Linked DNA regions of Neodiprion lecontei. The protein of the gene in region 1 interacts with the protein of each later gene in a pairwise test. Links are inferred from orthologs where the notes say so. Each region holds a gene or a part of one and is shown in the gene's direction. Other genes may lie near its edges.

What was found.
Region 2: the proteins of DNA replication complex GINS protein SLD5 (region 1) and DNA replication complex GINS protein PSF1 interact in a two-hybrid assay, tested with the Drosophila melanogaster proteins (2 studies listed by BioGRID). The link is inferred for Neodiprion lecontei from reciprocal best matches to the Drosophila melanogaster genes Sld5 and Psf1.

Annotation. Positions count from the first base shown.
Region 1 is NC_060261.1:11,939,047-11,947,238, forward strand, and holds DNA replication complex GINS protein SLD5, read left to right. Parts: upstream 1-4,010; 5' UTR 4,011-4,156; coding exon 4,157-4,810; 3' UTR 4,811-5,734; downstream 5,735-8,192. Other genes in the region: transient receptor potential channel pyrexia-like, read right to left, coding at 1-204, 284-471, 571-895, 2,027-2,286; rhodopsin, read left to right, coding at 7,429-7,661, 7,980-8,192.
Region 2 is NC_060262.1:38,200,583-38,208,915, reverse strand, and holds DNA replication complex GINS protein PSF1, read left to right. Parts: upstream 1-4,386; 5' UTR 4,387-4,611; coding exon 4,612-4,683; intron 4,684-4,772; coding exon 4,773-4,837; intron 4,838-5,263; coding exon 5,264-5,564; intron 5,565-5,859; coding exon 5,860-6,003; 3' UTR 6,004-6,151; downstream 6,152-8,333. Other genes in the region: uncharacterized protein LOC107226463, read left to right, coding at 161-260, 644-1,369, 1,450-1,637, 2,453-2,500; 39S ribosomal protein L4, mitochondrial, read right to left, coding at 2,958-3,103, 3,220-3,628, 3,721-4,029; NF-kappa-B inhibitor cactus, read left to right, coding at 7,899-7,956.

The DNA of each region.
Region 1 (8,192 bases):
ATAGCCAAATGCATCGGAGTGTCTCCAACCGCGTTCCATATAGAGCGAGGGAAATTCGCATTCAGAAGGACTGTTATCGCGTCCAAGGAACCCAACTCAACAGCTGTATGTAATGGCGTCACGATGTGACTTTGGTCCTGATATTCCGAAGAGAGGTAATGCCGGCTGCCAGCAGCTATCAATGATGCGATTACGGCTGGATACCTGAATCGTTGATGAGATTATCTCGACTAGGCTCCAGTGATCAAATACACAAGTCAAAATCAATGCGTTATATACCTACCTGAATTCCACGTCGCCCTCTTCACGGTGGTCGATTAAATTTTCGCCTACTACATCAAGTGGCCTCATCCCTCGACTGTCAACTTTATTGAACTCAGCTCCAGCCGCCAGAAGATGTTGCACACAGATCATCTCTGTCCGTTTACAAGCTACGTGAAGAGGTGAACTCCCGAATTCTAAGACCGGTAGCTAAAAATTGAGATTATCACACTACCATGTTTTGAAAACGGTATGCCTAAAGCTCTGACGAACTGTACTGTTTGGACGTGTTTATCGAAAACTACTCACCATGTCAATCACCGACTGATGATCGTGATCCCAAGAGTCGATCCACTCTAACCGAATTTTGTCTTTTATTTCGATTTTTTCTGTTGCTATGTTTACCAGTTCTGGGGCATGATCGAGAAGAAGCTTTACACAATCCGGATTGCCTTCCCAAGCGGCGAGATGCAAAGGTGTTCGTCCCATTGCGTCACGCGTTCCTTCTAGTTGAGCACCATTCTTGAGCAGAGTTCGCAAAATATCGGTATGTCCTAAAAAGCTCGCTATGTGACAACTCGAAATCCGATGTGGCTTGCATGTCGCGTTTGCACTGGCATCATGCTGGAGACCACTAAAAATTATGAATTTTAAGTTACATCAGAAAATGCACAATGCAAAAGATAGAAAAAAGAAAGAGAGTTGCATACATTCTACCCGATTTATGAGAATTGGGTCACAAACAAAACCAAAGAGATGATCAATCATCGAGATAATTTACTGACAGCGATAAATGTGTATCAACATGGGAAGTTTACGTGCAAAGTATTTCGAGTATTAATGATGATCCCCTCCATTACAGTGTGATCACTGAACCGAATAAACAGCCCAGCAATTGGAAAAAATTTTAAATAATAGAAAAGAATAGAAAATTTGAAACCGGCTGAATCTGTTTTTTTGGTCCCAAAATTACTGTTTGGATGTCTAGCTGAATCTTCCTATAGGGATAAGTGGCTAGCGATTACAAGGGATTGATAGGAATTATTAAAATGTTTAAAATCAATTAATTATAATATTGAGTGTAATTCGAAGTGTTTAGAAAATTATATTCCAAGGTACAACTAGAACGTTTTGAAATACGTCCATGCGATCACATCTACTAGGACGGCTCAGTACAAGAATTACTGTTAAATAACACCCGAGTAAAATAACTCTGTTTAGTATAATACTCGCGTACTATAAGTACGTGTCGAATAATGCTGTATCGAATAAAATCGTGGGTTATACGTTTCTGTGGAAAATACTCTGAGGCGAAAAGGTACCCACTCACCATTGACAGATTTACACGAATTCAAATCGTTATAGGATTCGAACAGAAACAACTGAATAGAAATTGAATTGTTTGAGGCGTATTGACTTTGTTCCAGATTAATTTCAATTTTTTTCAAATGAATCGAATAGGAATTATGGATAGAAACGAAACTGTGCGTTACACATTGGATCAAATTGAAATTGCGGTACAATTCAAACATAAGAAAGTATGAAGAACCTGCAGCTGTAGACACATATTCAAACAATAGAACAATCAATTCGGATGGATTTTCGCACAACGCAATACGTCTTTTTGAAAATTTTGGATTAGTAGCTAACGGCATTAAAATAAACCCGGTTCAATACTTTTTATTTTTTCTTCGTTTGCCGAGGAAGGCTGCGTAATTTCAAGATAAATTCGAAATAGCGGAACCAAAATTAACATATACCGGACCGTTCAACCTCCGCCAAATTTCCGTCAACAACCGCTTGAAGGAGTTCCGTATTCAGACGCATAAGACGGCGATCCATTCTCCGTTTGGCATTTTGATGTTCTGGAAGCGTTTCCGATGACCCCATTGGCGAGGGAGACATCGGATAGTTTGGAGTTGACGGTACAGCCAACGTGACCATTAACGGAGGCAACGCAACTCGCATTTCATCGTCAGGATCCGGTTCCCCGGTAGGCAAACTGTTGTAGCCATACTTCGACATCTCTTATGTATAGACGAAGACACGGGGAAACTCGTAAAAATCGACTACCTGAATACTGACACACTGCAACAACTGTTTTACACTTAAATATTAAGACACATATATTCTGTAACCGGATTCACCTTCGGTCAGTACTAAAATGAATCGATGTTGACAGTACGTATTTTCAAATACGCTGGAATTATATTTTTTTACAGTTATACCTGACACACTGATCGACTAAAGATTACGATAACCGTACATACTTGAGGCGGTTACCAGTATAGGCCTCTAGTCTAGTGATTCATAATCTTTAAAATGGACTAGATGCAGTATCTCCTAATCGCTATCAGGCTGTTTACAACAACGTCATGACAGCTCGTAGAATCTTTGTCGCTTTAATTACATCTAAGTGATTCTAAGCTGATATACTCAAATATCGCTGAAATGGTTCTCAGTGATCGGTGGATCAAATTGATTTTAAATCCTTTTAAGGTAATTGACTAATAGCGGATCCTTAATCTTGCATATCGTTAAGTTTTTATGCGATGTGCTATAGACCTTCGGACTGATTCTCTCGATACCTGAGTTGTAAAAGAGATATAGTGAACGTTTACGATAATGATTTTGTGTATAATTTTTTTGGCTATAGGTATATTTTTCAAAAACCTGATGTTCACCATTGAAATAGAATATATGTATATATATAAAGAATCATATAGATATAGGAATCTGGAATCATGATAAATAAATTAGCTCAGTCTCCGTTACTTGCTATACGACACTGTGAAATACCTTAATTTTTCAATGGAAACTTTGGATTGGTTTCGCGGAAACTTATCCCTCTCTCGGAGAAGTGTAGCTATCGATGAGGCAACTATACTTTTTACTTTGTACAAATCTACAAGTTTTCCATGACAAATATCACCATCGATTTGAAATCCAACATTTTTTCAGAAAAATGAAATAGTTCACGATTTGTGAAAAATCATCACGTTCTCATTTGAAAAAATCATTATTCTGACAATGGTAAATATTCGTTTATAAACAGCAGTGTTGATAGTAGTGAAAATTGTATGATTCTCATAAAATGAACTATAGTTTGCTGGGAAGAAACCTTTTACATATTCATAAAAACTATTTTATTTTTTATAGCAAACACATCTCCCACTACGGGCAGCGATCATTGTTGATCCCTTTGCGTACTGTATTTAAAATATAAATTCGTATACATCAGCGCGAATGTAAAGAAATGTTTGAAATACAAATTGTTGATGGCTCATAAAATAATTTTAGAGCAATTCTCGATTATGCAGGTTACATTATTTGAAGGTGTAAATAGGGTTTGAATAGAAATATACATGCACGCTATTAATGCTGTATTGATTGTTTATTATGAAGATAACATTTTCAAACAATAATTGTCAATTGGTGGAACGCTTTGGCAGTAAATGACCAGTAAATACCACCAACCGCGAGTTAGAAAATTCAAAATATGATATTACTGGACTGCCACAGTTCCTTGGCGGAATATACCCAGAGATGTACAGACAGAACTAGTCATTAGCTCAAAAGATATGGCGGGTAGAGGTAAGGAGGACTAGAAAGTGTTCGTAAAGTAGAGGCAAATTAGTGAAAAAGAGATTAAAGATGGCTGATCACGGCACTGAAGATTGATTTCGGAACGCATTGGAACGCATTCCCAAAGTCATCGTGGAGATGGCCCCGAAGCAGAAGAGGATCTACTCTTCCTATAGTTTGCGGTCGTGTATGGCATAGTCAATTGGTGACATCTCGTCTCAGTAAGATTTGACATGTTCATGTTTTTGTAAACATTATTCCACGCATTATTCACATTCGGTCCCGAGAACCGTTGTCACTCTGTCTTGCAATGGACGATAGCGTAGCGGATGTTTCAGAGCACTTGGACTCTAGCGACAATGAAGAATTCACGCCCGGCAAAGTATTGCAAGACATTGAAAATGCTTGGTTGAACGAGAAATTTGCACCAGAGATATTACCTCATCAATCAGAACTCGTTGATTGTATGCTCGAACAAATTTCTCACATGGAAGAGAACATGAAAAAATTGAAAAAGGGTGACATCAGGCTAGCTATTCATAAGATGGAAATCGATAGAATACGATTCGTTATAAAGAGTTACCTGCGAACGAGGTTAGAAAAAATTGAACAATACACCATACACATTCTGTCAGAAGATGACAAAAAGAGTCCGGAAGAATCTTACCTAACTCCAGGCGAACGCAAGTTTGCTAAAGAATATTTAGCCAATATTGAAACACTTTTCAGAACAGTTGCGCTTCAACACATGCCTGCTAATTTTCAAGCATTCGAAGTTGATAAACTGACTGTTAAACCCAACTTGAACAGCCATGTCTTTTTGCGAGTCAACAAACCTGTGCAAGGAATCATCGTGCCTGGAACGACAAATGATGAAATAGATTTGACGGCTGGTGCACAGCGCCTTATTCAATACCAGCCAATCGCAAGCTTAGTGAAAGAAGGAGCAGTTCAATTGATATAGATGTCACGTAACACATCTTGTTTGACTTCAAGTTGAAAATGATCGATAATCTAGTTATAACAATACCGAAAACAAAAATTATCAAATAATAATTTCAACAGCACAATTAATGTTTTGAACATAGGTTTTGTGAATTCAATGTCTCCGTAGAATAAAGTAGAACAAAGTCACTACAGTATGAGTTAAAACTTCAGAAGTTTAACCATCGACTATTTTGTTAGGGTAAAATTTCGTATCATCCTTAAGGTGAATAAAAATCACGGTTTCTATAATTTTCAAGTAATCACAGTGTTTGTTATTTGAAAATAGATTTTCCAATAATAGTTTCTGCTAGGTTGTTTCTGCTATATAGTAATATGGTATCAGATTCACAATACAGTTGACCATAAAGATATACGATATATTAAAATCGTTGTATTTTTTTAGTTGTTGAAGTAACGTTGTGTTCTTCCAATTAGATTAAATAGATGCATTTTATTAATTCAATGTATTTGTTCATTTGTATTCGAATATTTCCATTACCTCGGCTGTATCATGAAAATACAGTCCTAAGTACTTATGTTTTGAACAATTATGCCAATACATTGATACAGTCCGTAAACAATGATTAAAAATGAACAGAAATGGTTGAAAGCTTGAAATACTTTAGGCTCCTATATCCATCTCACAAAACTATAAGTGAAACCTAAATATTCCAGCTTCAGAAAATCCAAAACCTGTCTTTTAACTGTTCAACTTCTTAGCGAAGCTTTAGTTTAATTTGTAAGTTCTAATTTGTAATATTCTAATCATCAATTGTGCCTTATATAATTCAATTGTAAAAATGATATTTTTAGAGGGACTACTTGCGATACCTGTTATATTGTTACGGAATAATTACGAAGCATATAAATCTCGAGAATTTTGTACAAACAATAAATTGAACAAAATATCAAACCATGTCTTTAATCTTTTTGGGGGGGAATTAGTGAATAGTCCCTGGTGTTCGATTATTAATTATAGAGGTAATCGGCACAAAGTGGGGCAGTCGCTAATGAACAAAATCGTAATTACTCAACGATTGCAATTGCAATTTGTGATTGAGGCAACAATGAAATACAAATTACGTTTTCATTTTCTAATGAGAACAAAGTAAAATACAAAATATTTTAGTATATGAGTATGTGGTACACACATACATATACTTTGTACACGCCCGTATATTTTTGTAGATACCCGCAACGAGAAATTTTTTATTCAAAATACGGTGATTAAGACTTTAACGAAAGTTATACTAACAAATTGTAATACGAGATCGAATAGAGATATTAGGTAATTTTCACAATTGTAATTGATAGTTTATTCCTGTTCGACATCGCAATAACGACCACCTTATGCCCAATGCTCAACAAACCCAGTTCCCTTTCTTACATTCGATTTGTTCATTTATCTATTTACATAGTACAAATAAACATTCGAAAGGTTCTCAATGATTTACATTTCACACACCTTGATGCTCACACACACTAGACTGCTTTTCCCGACTGCCTCCTTCTTCCATTCTCTTTTCTTTCACCCGCTCGCTCACACATTATCACCGTTCTCACATCTTTGGAATCAGTCGTTCGAACTCATCTGCCGATCGTTCGCACCATGGTTCGCACCCATTCAGTCCAGCACACCCGCCATCCCTCTAAACATTCCGCTCTACATACACATATATAATTTGTATTTTATCTTTTTGTAATCATGAAACGCCAATGTAATTTGTAATGTATTTCGCACTAATCGTTACACGTAGAGAGCCCGTTTTACCAATTTCTTCTGCACTTGTATTTGAATTCAATGTTATTTCATTAAGTACGTTTTAATAAAAACACTGCATTAAATTTCATATAAAATATTGAACAAATAATACGTTGAATCGCAAAACTCTCTTATATCTCACAAAAACATCATTTTTGCGGTTTAATTGAGTGACGTTATTTACTAGATAAATGCTCTCGTCTCAAATTTTTTTGGTCCTACGACGGTAAAACTCTGCTGGTAAAAAATTGAGAAAGTAATTCAAAGTAATCATGCCCTTGAATCCATACACTCATATGTGGTAAAGCTAATTCAATTTAAAATGTACAATACCTATTTGAAATATGACAGCTGTCATTATCAGTTAATTTATTGTTCAACTAGCTGTCTCAAGAAGCCAGTTGAAACTACCTAAAGTATTACCTTTGTGTTCGCTTGTACAATAAATTGCCATACATATACGAGTCTCCAGTTGAAGTATAGATGAATATATTTGAATAATTGATCAAGGAAGGTCTTCTTACTCTCAATATATATAGAAGATCAGATTTACACAGCCGCTGCAGTAATGGCGAATATTTGATGCACCAATGTTCTACGTTATACCGCAGTCACCGTCCAACTACCAGAGGAAAAATATTTCCTGTTGTATTGTCATTAAACGAACTCTGCAGACGCAATAACATCGAAAGTAAGTGCTTACGGGAAAATGAAAAAAATTATTATATACTGACTTTTGCGTATGTGTGGGTGTTTCTGTGTGGGTGAATTAAAATTATCTGCTTAATGAAAACATAATTAACAATAAACGCTGTGCGACAATTGATCCGTAGATGTGTGTCTGCCCTCAGATGGAAGCAGCAATATCCTCTGATTCGCAGAATATTTTCAATCCCATGTCGTTGGATAATGTTCGAAACGTATCAGAGTTCACAGCTGGGAGAGCAGCTTTTGAGGTCATATCCACCATGGGTCCACAGGTTGCCCGACAATGGATGCGGTTCAATAATCAAACGGTTGCCGACAAAGTCCCACCTGAAATGCTTCATCTAATTGATCCACATTGGTAAATACTATGCAGGCTGCGTAAGCATAAATGAAATTCCCACACAAACCCCCTAGCAACAGTCGAAATTTGTGCCAAATCTTTTTTGTCTTTACACTCAAGATTCAAATCTTGGTCGGGGAATGATGGAGCAGTAATCACTGAAAACCTTCTGCTGGACTAGCAAACTCCATAATGAAAAAAAATTGTCACACAGAATCAATTAATTTATAGTCCGTGATGAAATTGAGTTATATATTTGAAATGTAACACGGAAATTTTATACCTAAATTTGAAAAGTACAAACTACAAAGCAAAAATACAGATACACTTTTATAGGTACCAATTTCCTCCCATGGATCCGTTGTGGCACAAAATACTTGGTCTTGTGATGATCGTCCTGGGGGTATTGGGTTGGAGCGGTAATGGCGTCGTGGTGTACGTGTTCATGCTGACACCCTCGTTAAGGACTCCAAGCAATCTACTCGTCGTTAATCTAGCCTTTTCGGACTTCCTCATGATGATCATAATGTCCCCACCAATGGTTATTAA
Region 2 (8,333 bases), on another chromosome or scaffold:
GGTCATTTGGCCAATCGCAGCGCTCGAATTTAGCGAATACCAGTCGTGGCGAAGAGCCGAAGCGTGATACTCGCGGTCTTTGAAAGATACTTCTCGTCATGTGCTCGCGATGTAGTCTATTATTTACCTCAGATTTTGATTATAACTTATCGCTGGAACAATGGCAGACAAGAAAGACGATCCTCGGGAAGTATTGTCCCTCTTAAATTCTCTCGGATTTGTCGGAATAACGGCACAGCAACTGAAGGCATTCATGAAAGGTGAAGAATTCATAACCGTTATTTCTCTACACGTAAACACACCTGTAACGTACAATTCAAACGATGCTTTGAATAGTCTAAAGCTTGAAAAATTTTACCCCATTCGGAATTTTTTCGTCATTAAAAGCTCATTTCGGTAGATTTCTTATGCTAAAATCTTTGGGAGAGGTTAGATTTTGAAACAGTTCTAAAATCACGTACTTTTCTCGTAATTCGATAAATATTTGGAATAGTTCTACACAACTGCCTGCACAAGTCTCAGAGATTCTTGGAAATGTCTAATACCAACGATTATGCTTCAATCTGCTGCATCTCCGTGATCCATTTTTGCTTTTTATACCTTCAAATCTAGAAAATCTAATGTAATTTTATATCTTACGCAGACTTGAAAATGCATAGAAAAATAAGGGAGAGGGAGCGACAGCAGTGGAAAGAGGATACGAAGAAGAAAATCCTTTTACGGCAGCAGCAGCTGTATAGAGAAGTACTGCGCGAGCATAAAACTGAGACAGGGGGTTTAAACAGCCGGACAGAAAGTACAATATCGTCAGAATCTTCAACGTTTCATGATGACTCATCTTGCAAATTAGTAACAGTGAAAATCCGTTGTTTTCCCAAAGACAAGGAGGACGAAATAGCAAAGGAAAATCACCACAACTACGTTATACCGGCAAAGAAAACTGGCTCAGCTAAAACGCACACCTCTTGGGCTGAGGAGTTTCGACAAAATAGCCTCAATTCAGACAACGGATACAATACCAGCTCCTCGAGTTTGATCAATGAATCTCATCGTCACTTCGATCGGTTGAATAATATTAGCCAAAATCACAGTGCCGGCGCGTCCACAGACAGTACAAAGTATATATCGTTGGAGAAATCGAGGAGCAGAGCCACCAGATCTGAACAAAATTTGAAACAAACAAATCTCGCCCCTGCCAAATCATCCACAGGACAAAAGGCTTCAAGTTCTCGCAGTGCTCCAGTTATGTCTGAAAATTGCAAACGCAGTCAAACTACCGAAGTTCATGCCAATCCACCGCCATCGAGAAGCTCCATTCAATCAAGACCAAAATCATGTGAGGAGCGAATTATTTCACCTCGATCAAAAAGTTAAATTGCATTGGTAGAATTTTGGATAATTCTTATTTCGCTGTATCTTGATCATAATTTAGATTTTTTTTTTATCCAGTTATAAGGCCCTGGAGACTTCAGCCAGAGTCCCATAGATCCTGCACGAATACAAAGTCTGATCCAGTCGCGCTGTATCAAAAGTACAAAGAAGAATGGAAGCAGCTTGCTCTGCCTGGAGAGGAGAATCATGCTGGAGTCAGGTGGGCGGTAAGGGAAAAAATGCTTGGACTGGATCCAAATCCACGGGTAAGTAACTCCTAATTTGTTTGCCCTTACTCCTTTTTTCTAAGTCTTTTTTAGTACAGAATCATGAGTGAATTGAGGTAAAATATCCATGGTGTTCATTTAATATTTCTGCATTACTTGGATTTCAGCAAAATAACATGATGTGCAAAATAAGTGCAAATTTTAGAGATAATTGGTACGATTCTCTGAATATTTTGGATTGTAAGGAACGTAAGATATACCGAAGAAAGGAAAGAAAAATTAAGAAACAATTTTTAAACGATTGTGTCAGGCATAATGCAAATCTGAGTTCTGACTTGGATAGAAGACAGAATTCTTTGAAAAGTGTTTCTGAATCAGTTTTAGCACGCTCAACAAATTTCAAATTGCCATGTAATTTCAATACTACTCATAGCTCGCAATCAATTCTCACTTTACCCGATGCCTTTAAAAGACATCGACTACATGGTATAAAAATTGAAGAAAAATACAGAACTGAATCTTTGTCATGTCGCGTATTCTGCAGTGATAAATCCAATTCTAAATTTAAGGAAGTTTATTCACAAGAGACCAGTGCAAAGCAAACACTTAGAAGGCTCATTGGCAACATCTTAGGAAAAGATATAAACCTATACGCTGAGAATTATAAGTATATGAAGAAATGCTGCTGTGTTTCCCAACCCAGATTTTCACAATCATAATTTCGTCTTAAAAATAAACGAAACATTTTTTCGAACCTTGTACAAGATTTGTAATGCGTGTACACGGAATTTGTGTAATAAAACATTTTGCAATTTCGTAACAATCGTGTAATGAAAATTATCGTTTTTTTTCAGCCGATATTGAAAAAAAGCTGCAGCACGTCGGCAATAAAAAAGAGATGATTAATTACCATGATTCTTTGTTATAATTAAACGCGTTAATCATTATTAATAATTATATGAATTTGGACATAAACACACTCGTTATTGTAAAAATGATGATATCGTGTATTATACTAAATAATTATTCAACTATATTGCAACGATTTTATTAAACTGATGAATATGTGATGCCTGTCGAAAGAACGAAATCCTTAACGGAAAGAATGTCATTATTTTGGAAAAGATATTTTAATCAATTTATAAATATGTAAAACGTAGATGTAAGTTTAGCCTTAAACAAAGTGATGATTAATTCAGAATTGTGATTGTAACCACGCAGATCTATTTAGTAAAAAAAAAAGGCTACAAAATAAAAATGAACAGTGTCATGTAATTTTTCTCAGACAACAACTGCCTCCTTTATTCTCTAAGAAATAATTTTATACACAATTTAAACACTAATTATTTTTAAATAGCCTCACTGTTGATTGAGTCGGAACTTCTTTGTCACCTCCCGATCATTCATTCTGTTCAACTGCAGGAGTATTTTGCTTTCTATCTCTCGAGCAGCATTTTCTGTGAGAACTAACGTGTCGTGCTTCAGCATACTGTAAACGTTCAAGCCTGGAAAAGAAGAAATAACAGAAGACCGAACTTTTGTGCACATAATATGGATATCTGTAAGCGATGTCTCGCGCTTCAAAGGGACATGGATTAAACTATCTAAAGGAAATTTTTACCATAGACTGGCATGAGATTAAAATGCTTGATCTCATCAGTCGCCAGGGTGATGTTCTTCGGCATAATGTCTGGTACGTCCACGAATAATACGGACGGTCCCCAATTTCTTTGGTAAACCAGATCCTCAATGTACCCAGGCTCTGTCGTTGGAATTTCTAAATCATTCACAATGTGCAGATCGTCCTGGCCGAACTTTACTGTCAATGCCGAAGTGAGGCCTAAGACTCTGGTGTAGAAGGGGAGCATGTAAAAATGCGTTGTTGGTGACCGTGGGCCATGGGCAACGCCGCCACCACGCCATAAGGGGGAACGTATACTCCCGTGTCGAGCGCGACCCAAGCCTTTTTGTTGCCAGGGCTTTCGTCCGCCTCCCCTTACCTCAGCTCTCGTCTTCGTGTGAGCGTAACACTAAAATCCGAGTAAAAAAAATTTAATTCATATTCAAAGGGTAGCGTGAATATAAGAAAAGACATTGCTTTGAAAGCAGTAATTCAACTTACGACAAATTTGTACATCCTCTGCCATCTCACGTTTTGGTGTAAAATATCAATGCGAGGATGAGCCCCGAACACTTCTGGATGCAGCATCATCAGACCGAGCTTCTTTTCCTCAATCGTGTCCAAATTTTCTAGCCATACTTGCTTCGGCTTTTCGTAAAATCGCCCCTGCTGTATCGCCTCGCTTATCGAAATAATTGGCTCCGTTTCTATTGCATCGTTGTTTTCAGTCACCAGAGAACTGAACCTCGCGATTCGACCCACCGAACATCCCTCAAGTTTTGTTAAAATGCTTCGTAAGAGGAACGACATTTTTGGTACTTTAACCTAACCTAACCTCATTCACCAAACACGAAACGTAACCTCAAATTATCGAAAAATAGCCTAACATAACGTAACTTTAAACGGTCTAAACAGATGTTTCTGGGTGAGATCGTGCTGTCTGTAACATGCAAAATACAGAAATCGACAAAGTGTTGCCAAATTCACTTTCCACAAACGAGAAATATAAAAACGGAAATGATAATCCGCCGGTCGAAGGATACTGAACGCAAACTTCACCCAACTTTGAGCACTTGCACGCCAAAAACCGATCACAAAAATTCACCCAGGGATATCCGTCTTTATATTCTTCAGTCAACGGTATAGTACAGTATAGGCTGCATGTCTTTTACGTTAATTTTCTGGGACAATTCAACACTAAATGTAATTTCATTGGCCTGATCTAACAGAATAGGCCAACGAAACCACTTAATATCGTACAACTCAGAAAATTGACGCAAAAGCAAACTGACTGTACCGGCTGATGTGACGTACAGGTTGTAAACAAATGACTGCGTACGCGTAGGAAATAGAAAATTGCATTTTATTAATGAACAATTATTCGCTTGTACTATGTTCGGAGAAAAAGCATTGGAGCTCATAAAGGAACTCGAACGTTCCGCTGAGGGCATCCCGCCGTTTAACGTGAGTAACAGGTCTTGAGTTCCGTAAAAATCATGTAAACATTGGTTCAGGTTATGAAAATACGCGCTATACATTTGCTTGTATTCTAGGATGACGGTATCCGGCAGGTTTTAGAAGAAATGCGAATTCTTTGTCAAGCTAATTTCGATGATATGTTGGTATTTGTTTTATTTACTTCGCCGATAATATACGTCATTTCTGTTATTATTAATCATTTTTATTACCGTCATGGTCAGGATGTTCAATCATGAGAAATTTTCACAGCAACTTAATAGTGTTCCTGGAAATAACGTCAGGGTTTATTCAAAACTTAGTCATCGACTACAGAAAGATCGTCCTAATTTGGCATGAGTCGCTAAATCATAAATTAAATTCTACAAATTTTATCCATTATGAAAACCTTATTCCGAAGTGATTACTACTGAAACTTTTGCTTAAAAAATCTGAAATTGGTTTGGAAATCATAATTAGTCTGAAAGTAAACTGAACACTTACTCAGCTGTGCAGTAATTCTTAATAGTTTGGAATGCCTGTACATTTATTAGCAGGAAAAACTACTAACCACTATTATTTGTCGCAGAGAAAATCCAACAACGGATCCACCAAACTATTCTTCCGTGCGAGTTCGTCACATGGCAATAAGCAGGAACAAGAGATGCATTTTGGCATATCTGTACAACAGGCTGCAGAAAATAAGGCAGATGCGGTGGGAATTTGGCAGTATTTTACCACCTGAAATAAAATCCTTGCTTTCCGAACCAGAAGTACAGTGGTTCACATCATACAGCAAAGCTTTAGCCACTTATATGAGATCCATTGGCGATAATTACGGGCTGAATTTAGCCACTGACGTTACACCTCCAAAGTCGCTTTACATTGAGGTAACAGAGTTTTGAATTTTAAATCCTTTGTGTACACAAAAGTAAATTGCGTAAACCTGTGTTGAATTGGAGATGGATAATCGATTAATTGGGGAGATAATTGATGATAACCGCTAAGTCTTTTCTGACATTCTGCAATTACGATGTTCTAGATAATCCTTGGGAGTTTTATTTATTCAAGGTTATCGTAGCATAGAACTTTCAGAGTCACAGTCATGACTTGCCAAATATTGTGCAAGACCATTGTTGGTTGTTTTCTCTTCCTATCGTCAAGGTGACTTTTGCGGAATTGCAGGTACGATGTTTAGTTGATTATGGAAAATTGGATCTGGAGGATGGGGAGGTGATATTCCTAAAGAAAAATAGCCAGTACTTATTGCCACGCGCTGAGTGTGAAGGTCTGGTGAGGCAAGGTGTATTGCAGCACGTGACTTCGTGAATTTCCGAATTGCCTCACATTCGCCAGAAACCTAAATTATACAATATTTCGCAAGAGTTTGATTTTATTTTTTATACTTATTCCAACGTGAATAAATCGCTTGGAGCTGTAATTTATAAAGTTTAAGTAAATGTTCTTTCATTCCGTATGATGATGGTTTATAAAAATCTTCTGTCTCCCGTGATAGCAAATTCATCCTTGTAAGTCTCCATATATATATATCTATAAGTACCAGAGGACTTATAGTAATAATACGATGACAAATATTCTCATGAGCTTTTAAAATTAAGTTTTTATATTTTGTACACTCATTATTTACATTGCATTATCCCGTCGAATTTTTTACCCGATTTTCAGTGCAACTAAGTACAGAATATTCTTAGGAAAACAATACACGAATATAAATTATTCATTACGCGTTTGTAATCTGTGTTGAAAGCGACAGATTTAATCTTGAACATTCGTTCACGAACCGGACAAATTGTAGTTGCCCAAAACGAATATTTACGATTCTCGTAGTTCCTATTTCTCGAACAGGCCTTGAAATAGGTTTCAATAAATCTTCAATTACGCTGCGCCTTATTTATCGCTGTGGCCATTACTCTGCTGTCAGAAGCTGCGCAAAGCGATTGTATATAAGAAGAAACAAAATCGAAATATATACCCGACCTTGAATTTTGAAACGTCTTGCGAGAGCCGTAAAATGCACTTTAGATCGACTCACAGACTGCGTCGAACTGCACGGATAAATCCGTATCCGATCGCATTTCGCACGGGAAAGGAAATTCGCTTGAAAAACTGTCAGGTATTAAAGTAAGTCATGCATATATACATATACAGAGTGAATTGCTAACAACCGAATAGTTTAGTGCGCATGCGCTGAAATTCGAGAGCACGAGCAATTGTTTTGTCAGGGTGACCAACATTTTTCAGGTTATATCGTGAGTTACATACATAAGGGTGATCTATCATCTAAATTTATAAATGTTGGTCGCCCTGACAAAACAACTGCTCTTGCTCTTGAATTTTAGCGCATGCGCATTAAAACGTCTAGTAGTTAGCAGTTCACTCTGTATGCAATACATTTTCCGATTACGATTCAATTATTCAAATTCTGTCAAAATTTTTTACCCTATATTCGTTACTCTTCGCCTAAATATCTCGATTCGCAGCTGTTCGATTTATGCAACCGATTCTCTTTCTCCGTCTAAAATACGTCGTAACTCGAGGAAATATACAGAAATTCGCTGGGCGACTGGATAGTGACAAAGGGAGAAAAGGAGGTAGGCAGGTAAGAAAGAGACTTTGACTGCAGCGCAGGCTCGAAAGTGCATCGACCAGGCTGCATTAAATTTGAAAAGGGCCCCTTCCGGCGGGGGTGCGAAAGACTGGAGGGTCCCCTCACCGGGGGTACGGTCTCTTGGTATTTCCCAGCCAACTGAAGCCACAGCAGGAATTTCCTACCCGGTAAATTCTTCCCACCGTTGTTCGAACGGTTCGTCGGCTTTAGAGTGATGCCGGGGCTACGTGGTCGCCCAATAGGTGCGTACATAGCGGGCACAAGGAAATGGCATATGTGCTGCAGACCAGTAAAGAATGGAGTCGAATAGCTCGGGGAAGGTCCAGTCGCTGTCGCATTCGTTGGCGAGACAGCAGGGAAGCGTTTCTTTCCGCAGCCTTCGTCGCTGACAATTCTCAGATTTCGCTGGTGCAGCGAATCTTTACGAATACGCCCGGTCCTGTAACATATCGTGAATAATTAAATCAATTTTACGGAAAAAAGTGACTCGATCCGATTTAATTTTTCAAACTACACCGTTTACCGATACACGTGTCTTTTCAAAACAACTTCCGCGTATAACCACGTGCAATATGGTTGTTGATAGTTGTGTGAAATGCCAGATTCAATTCTGAAATCTACAGGAGGACTCAAAATTCACAGTGTTTCAGTTGGTGAGAATCTTTCTGTCTATGATTGTACTTTTTTATTACAATGTATTATATGTATGTGTATGAGGGTACGTCAGTTGGTTTACATTTCAATTCTGTGAAATTAATATGCTATGAAACATTTCATTGTTGCAGTGGTAACCGCAAAGATTACAAAAATTTTTATCATTCTTTTATCACATGGCTTTAAGATACGATAAACAAATATATTTGCTGGTTCTACTTCCTTAATTTCTCGTTGTCATAACGGCGACAATGAATAGATTTTTTTTCTGTTAATACGCGCTTATCTGTACTACTGTCCTTTTGTCTCAAAAAATAAAAGCAATTTGTCTATATGGAACAAGAATGAATGTATGCGTGTAAGTTTTGATCCAGAG